Sus scrofa: one gene and its partner. Each later gene encodes a partner of the first gene's protein in a complex. Links are inferred from orthologs where the notes say so. Each region holds a gene or a part of one and is shown in the gene's direction. Other genes may lie near its edges.

Region 1 (4,411 bases):
ATGGTGACCTCTGTTAGGGGAACTGGGGATTGGAAAGAAGGGGTGGGAAGAAGACTTTTTGATTCTCTGCTCTGTGGTATATTTTTCATATCTTTTTTATTTTTATTATTATTTTTTCTTTTTAGGGACTCAGCTGCAGCATATGGAAGTTCCCAGGCTCAAGGTCGAATCAGCACTGCAGCTGCCAGCCTATGTTACAGCCGCAGTAATGCCAGATCTGAGCTACATCTGCGACCTACACTGCAGCTCTGGCAATGCCGGATCCTTCACCCATTGACTGAACCCAAATCCTCATGGACGCTTAACCCGCTGAGCCACAGTGGGAACTCCTCCAATATCCTATTTTTAATCAATTAAATTACCACAAAATTAATTGATTAATTCACTTCCATGGTCAACTTTCCAACCAATGACCTCTCATAACACATTTGCCCTCCTTTGGTCACACTGCTTCTCCTTCAGCTTCTAAAACATCCCAAGATCTTCCTGCCTCAGGACACTTTGCGCAAGCTATATCCTCTGCCTAGGCTGATGTTCTCTAAACTCTTCCGACGGGTGGCATTTCCTTACACTTCAGATCTTCGGTTCTAAGTTATCCCTTTGAAGAGGCCATCCCTGGCACCCTACACAAACAATTGAAAGAACACTTGAAAAAAATGACTCTCTTGGAGTTCCCACTGTGGCTGAGTGGCTTAAGAACCTGACTAGTATCTGTGGGAATGGGAGTTGGATCCCTGGTCTCACTCAGGGGGATAAGGATCCAGCATTGCTGTGGCTGTGGCGTAGGCCAGCAGCTGCAGCTCTGATTCGACCCCTAGCCAGGGAACTTCCATATGCTGCAGGTGCGGCTCTAAAAAAAAAAAAAAAGAAAAAAATGTCCCTCTTCCTCACTGGGCAGGGAGGGCGAGGCTTACATCCCTGACCACCCACTCTAAAGGAGCACCTCTTTCTTCACCCTCTTTACGACAATACCCTGATTTGCTTTGTTCAGAGCACTAGTCACTATCTGAAATTACCTTGTTTGTTTTCTTAGTTGTTTACTCTCTCCATCTCAAGGGTTTAAGCCTCTATGAAAACATGGGCCGTGTCTTGTTCCTAACTCCATTTTCAGCAACCCAAACAATAAACATTTGCTAAATGAAATTATGCAGCATGTACCATAGACTTCACAAAGAACAACTCAAATCAATCACAGTAACTCAATGAGGGAGATTGGTTTTTACTCACATTACGTACGGTTAAGGATAATCGAGACACAGCGGTTGAGTAACTTTCCCAGTTAGCAAGGTTGGAATCCCAGACACAAGATTCTTGCCACGACGCGATGCTTTTTCGACATATAAACTAACCAGTGGATGAAACTGGCTAAATGAATGAATGAATGGAAACGTGAATGTAAACGTTTATCCTTTTTTGTCTCCGGATTCCCCAGCTCTACCGCAAGGGGGCGCTCTCGCCAAGGTCTTGACGCCAGTACTTAAAGGCGCGCACTCCCCTTGCGTCTCGGGCTCGCGCGCGCTGCCGCGGCACCGGAAGTGACTGAGGTTGCAAGTTCCCCCGGTCTCTTCAGGGGAAACTGAGGCCGGCTCGTTCGGAAGAGACAGCGCGAGCCACCAGCCAGGTAGGCCGGCCCAGGTCCGCGGCGCAGAACTCTGCCGCGAAGAGCGGTCGCGTCTGGAAACTACCTGGCCGATGAATGGGGGATGTGGCCCCCCATGGCTCGCGGGGCTCGCAGGTGAGAGCGCCGCCTCCCCTGTGCGTGGCAGGCGCTGCGCCCAATGGGAGCCCTCGCCGTCCTGCTTCCGTGCCACCTGGGCTCGCTGATTGGCCGCGCTGGGGCGGGCCGCCGGGGGCGAGACCCCTCCTCCCAGAAAGGTCTAGGGGGCGCCCCAGAGGGAGAGCGGTTGCCTAGCAACGGGGCGGTGGCCGGGCGGGTACCCGGCCTAGCGCGCGGAGGGAGCCGCGAGTCCGCAGCCCACCCACCCTGGGCTCGGGAGAGGTGCAGACCCCTGCCTCTAAACCCTCGCCAGGGCGCGAGGAAGCCACCCTGGGCCTGTCCACAGGAGAACGTGGTTTCAGCTGTGGGGGGGCCTCGAGGAGGCCTCGCCCATTCTCCCTGACCCGAGGAGAGGCCCGGCGCCTCACCCTCGCCCAGTCTTTGTGCCGGGCGCCGGCGGCCATTGTGTCCGTGCGGGGAATGGAGGACCCGGCAGCCCCCCACCGCCACGACCAGGGCCTTTGGGGAATTCAGAGAAAGCCAGCAGCGTTTCTGGGGGGTCCCCGGCTTTCCGCCTCCCTGAAAGGCCCGGGGATGGCCTTTCCGAAGTCAGACCGCAGATACGAGGCAGTTTCCCCCTCCCTCCGTCCCTCATCGAAACCTTGAGCCCCATTGAGAAGTCCCTTTAGGGTTTCAGTAAACCTCACCCTGGGCTGGTACTTAAATAGAAGAAAAACAAAAACTAAATCTCACACCAGCCACCTCCGGGAGAGTTCTCCTGGCTCCCAGTAGGAGGCGGAGAGCCAAGGGGCGTGCAAGAGCAAGGGGGCTGGGCTCCCGGGCCGCGGCTGCTGAAGCGGCCGCCCTCGATCTGGGCGATGGAGGAGGAAGCAGGCGAGGGGGCCGGTTCCTGAGCTTCGTAATTCCTGTATCGCCTTCTGGGCTCTCAGTCTGCCGGGTCGCATGATCCCTCCAGCCGGAGCTGCTTTTTTTGCCAGCCGCCGCGAGGCCGGCTGAGTTACCGGCATCCCGGCTGCCACCTCCTCTCCCGACCTCTGATACAAAAGATCTTCCGGGGGCTGCACCTGCCTGCCGGTCGCCTGAGACGGATTTGAATGTAGGTGGTGCGGGGGTGGGGGGTGGGGGACAGACTGCCCATGGGGGTGACTTTCCGAGGAAGACATTTCGGAGAAAAGGGGGTGGCTGAGGCTTAAAGGCCGGTGTGATGATTCAGAGCCCACTGGTGCTTTCAATTTGACTTTATTGAAGTCCCTTGGAAGCCAGACCCAGACCTTCCTAAGAGCCACAAAAGACCCCATTCTGGTACCTGGAGGGGGAATGGATGTTGCAGGGTAAATGGCATGCATGTTAATTTTTTTTTTTTTTTTTTTCTGAAGCTCTTTCTCTCCCTTCAGAACCTTATCTTGGCTTTGGATCTCAGAAGAGAACCACTAAGCAGAGACCAGACTCAGTGAGTGAGCAGGTGTTTTGGACAATGGACTGGTGGAGCCCATCCCTATTATAAAAATGTCTCAGAGCAACCGGGAGCTGGTGGTTGACTTTCTCTCCTACAAGCTTTCCCAGAAAGGATACAGCTGGAGTCAGTTTACTGATGTGGAAGAGAACAGAACTGAGGCCCCAGAAGGGACTGAATCAGAAGCGGAAACCCCTAGTGCCATCAATGGCAACCCATCCTGGCACCTGGCGGACAGCCCCGCGGTGAATGGAGCCACTGGCCACAGCAGCAGCTTGGATGCCCGGGAGGTGATCCCCATGGCTGCAGTGAAGCAAGCGCTGAGGGAGGCGGGCGATGAGTTTGAACTGAGGTACCGGAGGGCATTCAGTGACCTGACGTCCCAGCTCCACATCACCCCAGGGACAGCGTATCAGAGCTTTGAGCAGGTAGTGAACGAACTCTTCCGGGATGGGGTGAACTGGGGTCGCATTGTGGCCTTTTTCTCCTTCGGTGGGGCACTGTGCGTGGAGAGCGTAGACAAGGAGATGCAGGTATTGGTGAGTCGGATCGCAACTTGGATGGCCACTTACCTGAATGACCACCTAGAGCCTTGGATCCAGGAGAACGGCGGCTGGGTAAGGACCACGCCCCTTGTGGTGTCCCTGTTCCTTGGTCTCAGGTCAGATCCCCAACAGCCTTTCCTCTGTACCTCTTTCTGTCGCGCTGTGTGATTATTGGAGATGTTGTTTGTTAAGGAGATGTGACTGGCCTCACTGCAGCACAAGACGCTAACTGTCCTGAAATACAGATGACCTAGTTCTGCAAGGACCAGACAGCTTCGTTCTGGTCATCCCCATGACCCTACCCTTTCAGACTTGTGTCCAATTTCTCTGCAGAGGAAAACATAGCCTGTGTGTTCATTGGGCCCCAAACCTTTGCGGGTGGCGGGTTAGTCCGGTGTTTCCCTGACCCTGACGTAATGGCTCCCCTCGCTAAGGGTAACACCTGCAGGAGACGGTATCAGTGACCCACCAGTCCCTTCAGTCTTACTCCCCCTGGGATGTCAATCCTGTCCTGGGCTTCCCTCCCCCAGATGGAGTCCCCTGTGTTTCAGAGTTGGCATGACCAGGCAGGGAGTTCCCACTGGCTTAGATGGCTGAGGATTGTCTACTTTTAGGGTGTAAGCTGTGCCAGTGGGCCAGTTGTGTTTGTGCCACACCCCTATGTTCATTGGCTCT
Region 2 (4,360 bases), on another chromosome or scaffold:
TGTTGAATCAGGGAAAAACCATTAATGTGCTATAATTGGCCAATTCTTTGATTTACTAGAACAAAATTTTCTGTGAGGGTAGGACTGGATTTAACCTGTTCACAGTTGAGACCTCTGAGCAAAACCCCCCGCTAAGGACAGAGTGGAGCACAAATACATTCGTGGTATGGAACAAGTTCTCCGGTTGCATACTGGCATAAATCTTTGCCTGAAAGGGCATTTTTAAAGTATCTCATAATTAGGTCCAAAGTCCAAATAAAACTTGGGCAGGTGGGGAGCTCCTTTTCCTTTTAATGTTTAACCCTCTGGCACCTGGCATATAATTTCGATCTTAAAGTGACAACATACCCTCTTTTTCAAACGACCTAATTCAAGACCAAGTGCAAACAGAAAAGGTGAAGATTCTAAACCTGTGTTAGGAACCGCAAACTTTCACATACAGGACCAAGCCGAGAGATGGGAAAACTGTGTAAACTCCCGCGACACTTTCCTCCCCCCTCAAGTCTTTTCCTACACACATCCCCCACGATTATTCCGAAGGGGCAGGAGGGACGACCTGGGTCCCACAACCCGGACTCAGCCCTGCCCCCACAAAAGCGTCCGAAAACTCGATGTAGGGGGAGAGCCCTAGGAGAAAACGCTGAAAAGTTCTCCGAGACCCCAGAACTCACAGGAGGCGGGTCATAAACCCAGCCCCCCTGCCATCATCCCCGGGGACAGAGTCGCGGTCTCCCAAAGCCTCAAAGGGACCCTACGTAAATGCAAAGTCCTTCCCAACAGCTGACACTTTGGTTCCCAGAAAGGGTGGGAGCTTGCGCCGGGCGAGGCCTGAGGCGGAAACTTGAAGCCCCACCCAGACCCAGCACCTTCGAGGGCAACCCTGGCGTAGGGAGGGGCAGAGCCCCAGGCACCACTTCCACCACTCAGCGCCCGGAAGCCCTTCCCTCCTCGCAGCCCCCCGCACGCTCCTCCCCCCACCCGCTCCCGCATTTCCCTCTGCCCCGCCCCCCGCCGCACCTCCTTCCCTGCGTCGCCCATCCTTGTCCCTCCCGACTTCTCCCCCCTAGGAAGCCCCGAGGGCCCAGCGTGGGGCACGGCTTTGCAGCCCAAGGCCAAGTCCCCGGATGTCCTCCTCCCCTCCCCACCCCCGGCTCGCGCTGTGGCCCCACCCCACGCGCCGCTCTGCGTGCCACGTCACCGCTTACGGCGCTTCCGGAGGCGCAGCGGGCGATGACGTAGGGGGACGTGCCCTCTATATGAGGTTGGGGAGCGGCAGAGTCGGCCTTTTCCGCCCGCTCCCCCCTCCCCCCGAGCGCCGCTCCGGCTGCACCGCGCTCGCTCTGAGCTCCCGGTTCCTGCTAAGCTAGCGCCGCCGTCGTCTCCCTCCAGCCGCCATCATGATCATCTACCGGGACCTCATCAGCCGTGAGTGGGGACTGCACTCTTCCCCACTGCCGCGCGAAGGGGATGGGGGTCTGGTGGGGGGCGGGGAGACGGCCGCCGCCGCCGCCGCCGCCGTCCTGGGCCTGGGGGACGCCGGCGCCCTCCCGGGAGCGAGGAAGGTCGGTGCTTGGCGCGCGCCCTGGGGTTTCGAGCGCCGGGGAAGGGCGGGGGTCGCGTGCGGCGGGCGGGGCGGCGCGGGAAATGGCGCCGGCTCGGGCTTCAGGCGCACGGTTGACTGGCGGGTTTGTGTTCTCGGGCAGATGATGAGATGTTTTCCGACATCTACAAGATCCGGGAGATCGCGGACGGGCTGTGTCTGGAGGTGGAGGGGAAGGTGAGTCGGGCCGGGTCGCGGCGAGGAGGAGGCAAGGCCAGGCAGGCTCGGGTTTCCGCCGCTCCCCCGCCCGAGGTTGTGCAATCCTCTCCGTTGCCTCCTGGCGGAGGAGACGCTCTTTCCGGGCTCGGGTTTTTCTAGAAAAGTGGAGGCGGAGCTGAGTCTGGAAATAGGTCCGCCACTTGGGCGCCCATCCTCCCAGGCGGTCCCGGACAGGTTGTCTCCTGTTTGGGAGCCCGAAGCCCTCAGCGGTTGCCCTTTTCAACCCGACTGTCCACGCAAAACTTCCACTCGTTGTAAACAACCCCCTTCTCGTGCTGGTCAACAAAGAATTGTTAGGGTGTTTTAGGAAATCGAGGGGTCATAAATTTTTTCCCCATGTTTTCAGCAAGAAACAAGAATCTTTAGTGGAAGGCTGATGGGATGTATGAGCTGCTTAAATTGTTTTGATGCCTTTGTGGTAAGGTCGAGGATGTGTTAGCAACTAAACTTTTCCTTAACGCAGATGGTCAGTAGGACAGAGGGTAACATTGATGACTCGCTCATTGGTGGAAATGCCTCCGCTGAAGGGCCCGAGGGCGAAGGTACCGAAAGCACAGTAATCACTGGTGTCGATATTGTCATGAACCATCACCTGCAGGAAACCAGCTTCACAAAGGAAGCCTACAAGAAGTACATCAAAGATTATATGAAGTCGTAAGTGATCTTGGCACATTCCGTTGATGTCTGGAATCCTGTAGGATTTAGGGATCTTCTAACTATGGAGATTTTTTTAGCAAGCAGGCATGGTTGTCAAATACTTTATTAATGAGCTCAGAAGGGTGGTTGCTTTTCTATCAAATATGAGCATAACAGGTGCATACAGGTCTGGCTTTACCTTTTCAGAACAGCACTTTGGAAAGAAGCTGACAGGAAATTCAAAGTTGTGAACAGTCATAAAACATCCCTCCTGTGAGCTAGGAATTTCTTGATTGTGCTCAGTGATAGCTAGTTGCTAGTTTCAGTTTGGAGTTTTTGGAGAAAATTTCTTTTGCTCAGAGCTCTGTAACGAACTTAACCTATCAATAAAATACTTGTTTTAGAATCAAAGGGAAACTCGAAGAACAGAGACCAGAAAGAGTAAAACCTTTTATGACAGGAGCTGCAGAACAAATCAAGCACATCCTTGCTAATTTCAAAAACTATCAGGTAAACAAATGTGTGGATTAAAGGGCTATAGAGTTTAACTTAGAGCAAAAAATGAGTTTGAATGTCTGATGTAATTTAATTGTGGGTATTTTCTTAGCCTTTTGAGCAATTAATACTTGATATATTCAACGCCAGTAGTCTAGCTGGAGAGGGTAGCCTTCCCTACTCCTTCCCCAGATGGCATCTCCCAGTTCTTTCTCTAGAATTGCTCAGTTTGACCCCTAAGTGGTTTTCCACTTTGCTTTCTTTTTACAGTTCCATTGGGTCTCATTGCCACTGGAGCTCTTTCTGATGTGAGCTTGTACTGTTGAGGAACGTAAAGAATTCCCTTACCGCCAAGCGAAAGTTTTGCTGTTTTCACACATCCTGTGTGTGACCCTAACTTTCTTTTCATAGGGTGTGCATGCTCTCATTGCTAGCCTTACTACATTCCCTGTGGTTGACTGTAAACAGGCTTCTTTGTAGGGCTTGGAATTGGCTGTGTGGGGATGAGAAAGCCTAAAGTTTCTAGAGTGCTCTGTACTCTTTATTTTGGCTCTTTTAGTACTTTGGGTGAACAGATTGATTAGTGAGCATTTCTCTTAGGCATCAAATCAGAGCCTCTGGTTGCTGAGAGTCTCGATTAAATAGTGGTGTTCTGAATCATTCTTTGATTTGTTTTGATACAGCACATTTGTATAATCTAATTCTGGATATTTGTTTGCTTCCTAAGTTCTTTATTGGTGAAAACATGAATCCAGACGGCATGGTTGCTCTGCTGGACTACCGTGAGGATGGTGTGACTCCATATATGATTTTCTTTAAGGATGGCTTAGAAATGGAAAAATGTGTAAGTACAAAGAAGTGGGTTGAAATCAGTAATGTAAAAATGGAGAGTGTGGGCATAATCCCTTGTTTCATGCCACTGGGACAGTTAGAATGGGTTCTGCAGCAGTCCTTTGAAAATGAGGGTGCAGGTCTTTTTTCTTGGGGATCTAAAGAATGTTGTGATTCACATGTAAAGGATTTTTATGGTATAGAAAAGCTTAGAATGGATCTGCAGGAAACTTAGCATAGATGACATTATAAATAGCTTAAATACTGAGCCTAGAGATCAGAGATAACGTATATAATCTAAATATTTTAAGTTATTTTAAGGGATAACACCCTATGTTGACATTTCTTATGGAAATGGCCCATAGAAATCAGACTGCTTTTCTCTTCCTATTTTGCCACACATACTGAGCATTAAAACCCTTTTCAAAGAAACTAGTCTCAATTTACAGTAATTGGCAGGTAGTCTTGATGTTACAAACTTTTAGAAAATACAGTTTAGAGCTGGAAATGAATGTCTCATGCAAGGAGCTCCTGGAGGCATTCATTATCAAGAGGCTTCCTTGTAAATTAGGAGTAAGA

Evidence for each region.
Region 2: the proteins of BCL2L1 (region 1) and TPT1 are in contact, whole or in part, in a crystal structure (PDB 4Z9V), measured with the Homo sapiens proteins. The link is inferred for Sus scrofa from reciprocal best matches to the Homo sapiens genes BCL2L1 and TPT1. Residues at the interface, in NP_001304848.1 of Homo sapiens: Ala93, Glu96, Phe97, Arg100, Tyr101, Ala104, Phe105, Leu108, Gln111, Ser122, Gln125, Val126, Glu129, Leu130, Asp133, Asn136, Gly138, Arg139, Val141, Ala142, Phe146, Leu194, Tyr195, Ala199, Ala200, Ser203; in NP_003286.1 of Homo sapiens: Phe14, Asp16, Ile17, Lys19, Ile20, Arg21, Ile23, Ala24, Asp25, Gly26, Leu27, Cys28, Leu29.

The regions. Positions count from the first base shown.
Region 1 is NC_010459.5:35,412,874-35,417,284, reverse strand, and holds the start of BCL2L1 (bcl-2-like protein 1), read left to right. Parts: upstream 1-1,488; 5' UTR 1,489-1,621; exon of another isoform or gene 1,622-1,735; intron 1,736-1,853; exon of another isoform or gene 1,854-2,834; intron 2,835-2,912; exon of another isoform or gene 2,913-3,040; intron 3,041-3,114; 5' UTR 3,115-3,244; coding exon 3,245-3,808; intron 3,809-4,411. UniProt on the Homo sapiens protein: Potent inhibitor of cell death. Inhibits activation of caspases. Appears to regulate cell death by blocking the voltage-dependent anion channel (VDAC) by binding to it and preventing the release of the caspase activator, CYC1, from the mitochondrial membrane.
Region 2 is NC_010453.5:21,927,989-21,932,348, forward strand, and holds the start of TPT1 (translationally-controlled tumor protein), read left to right. Parts: upstream 1-1,305; 5' UTR 1,306-1,397; coding exon 1,398-1,425; intron 1,426-1,703; coding exon 1,704-1,777; intron 1,778-2,282; coding exon 2,283-2,473; intron 2,474-2,859; coding exon 2,860-2,965; intron 2,966-3,677; coding exon 3,678-3,794; intron 3,795-4,360. UniProt on the Homo sapiens protein: Involved in calcium binding and microtubule stabilization. Acts as a negative regulator of TSC22D1-mediated apoptosis, via interaction with and destabilization of TSC22D1 protein.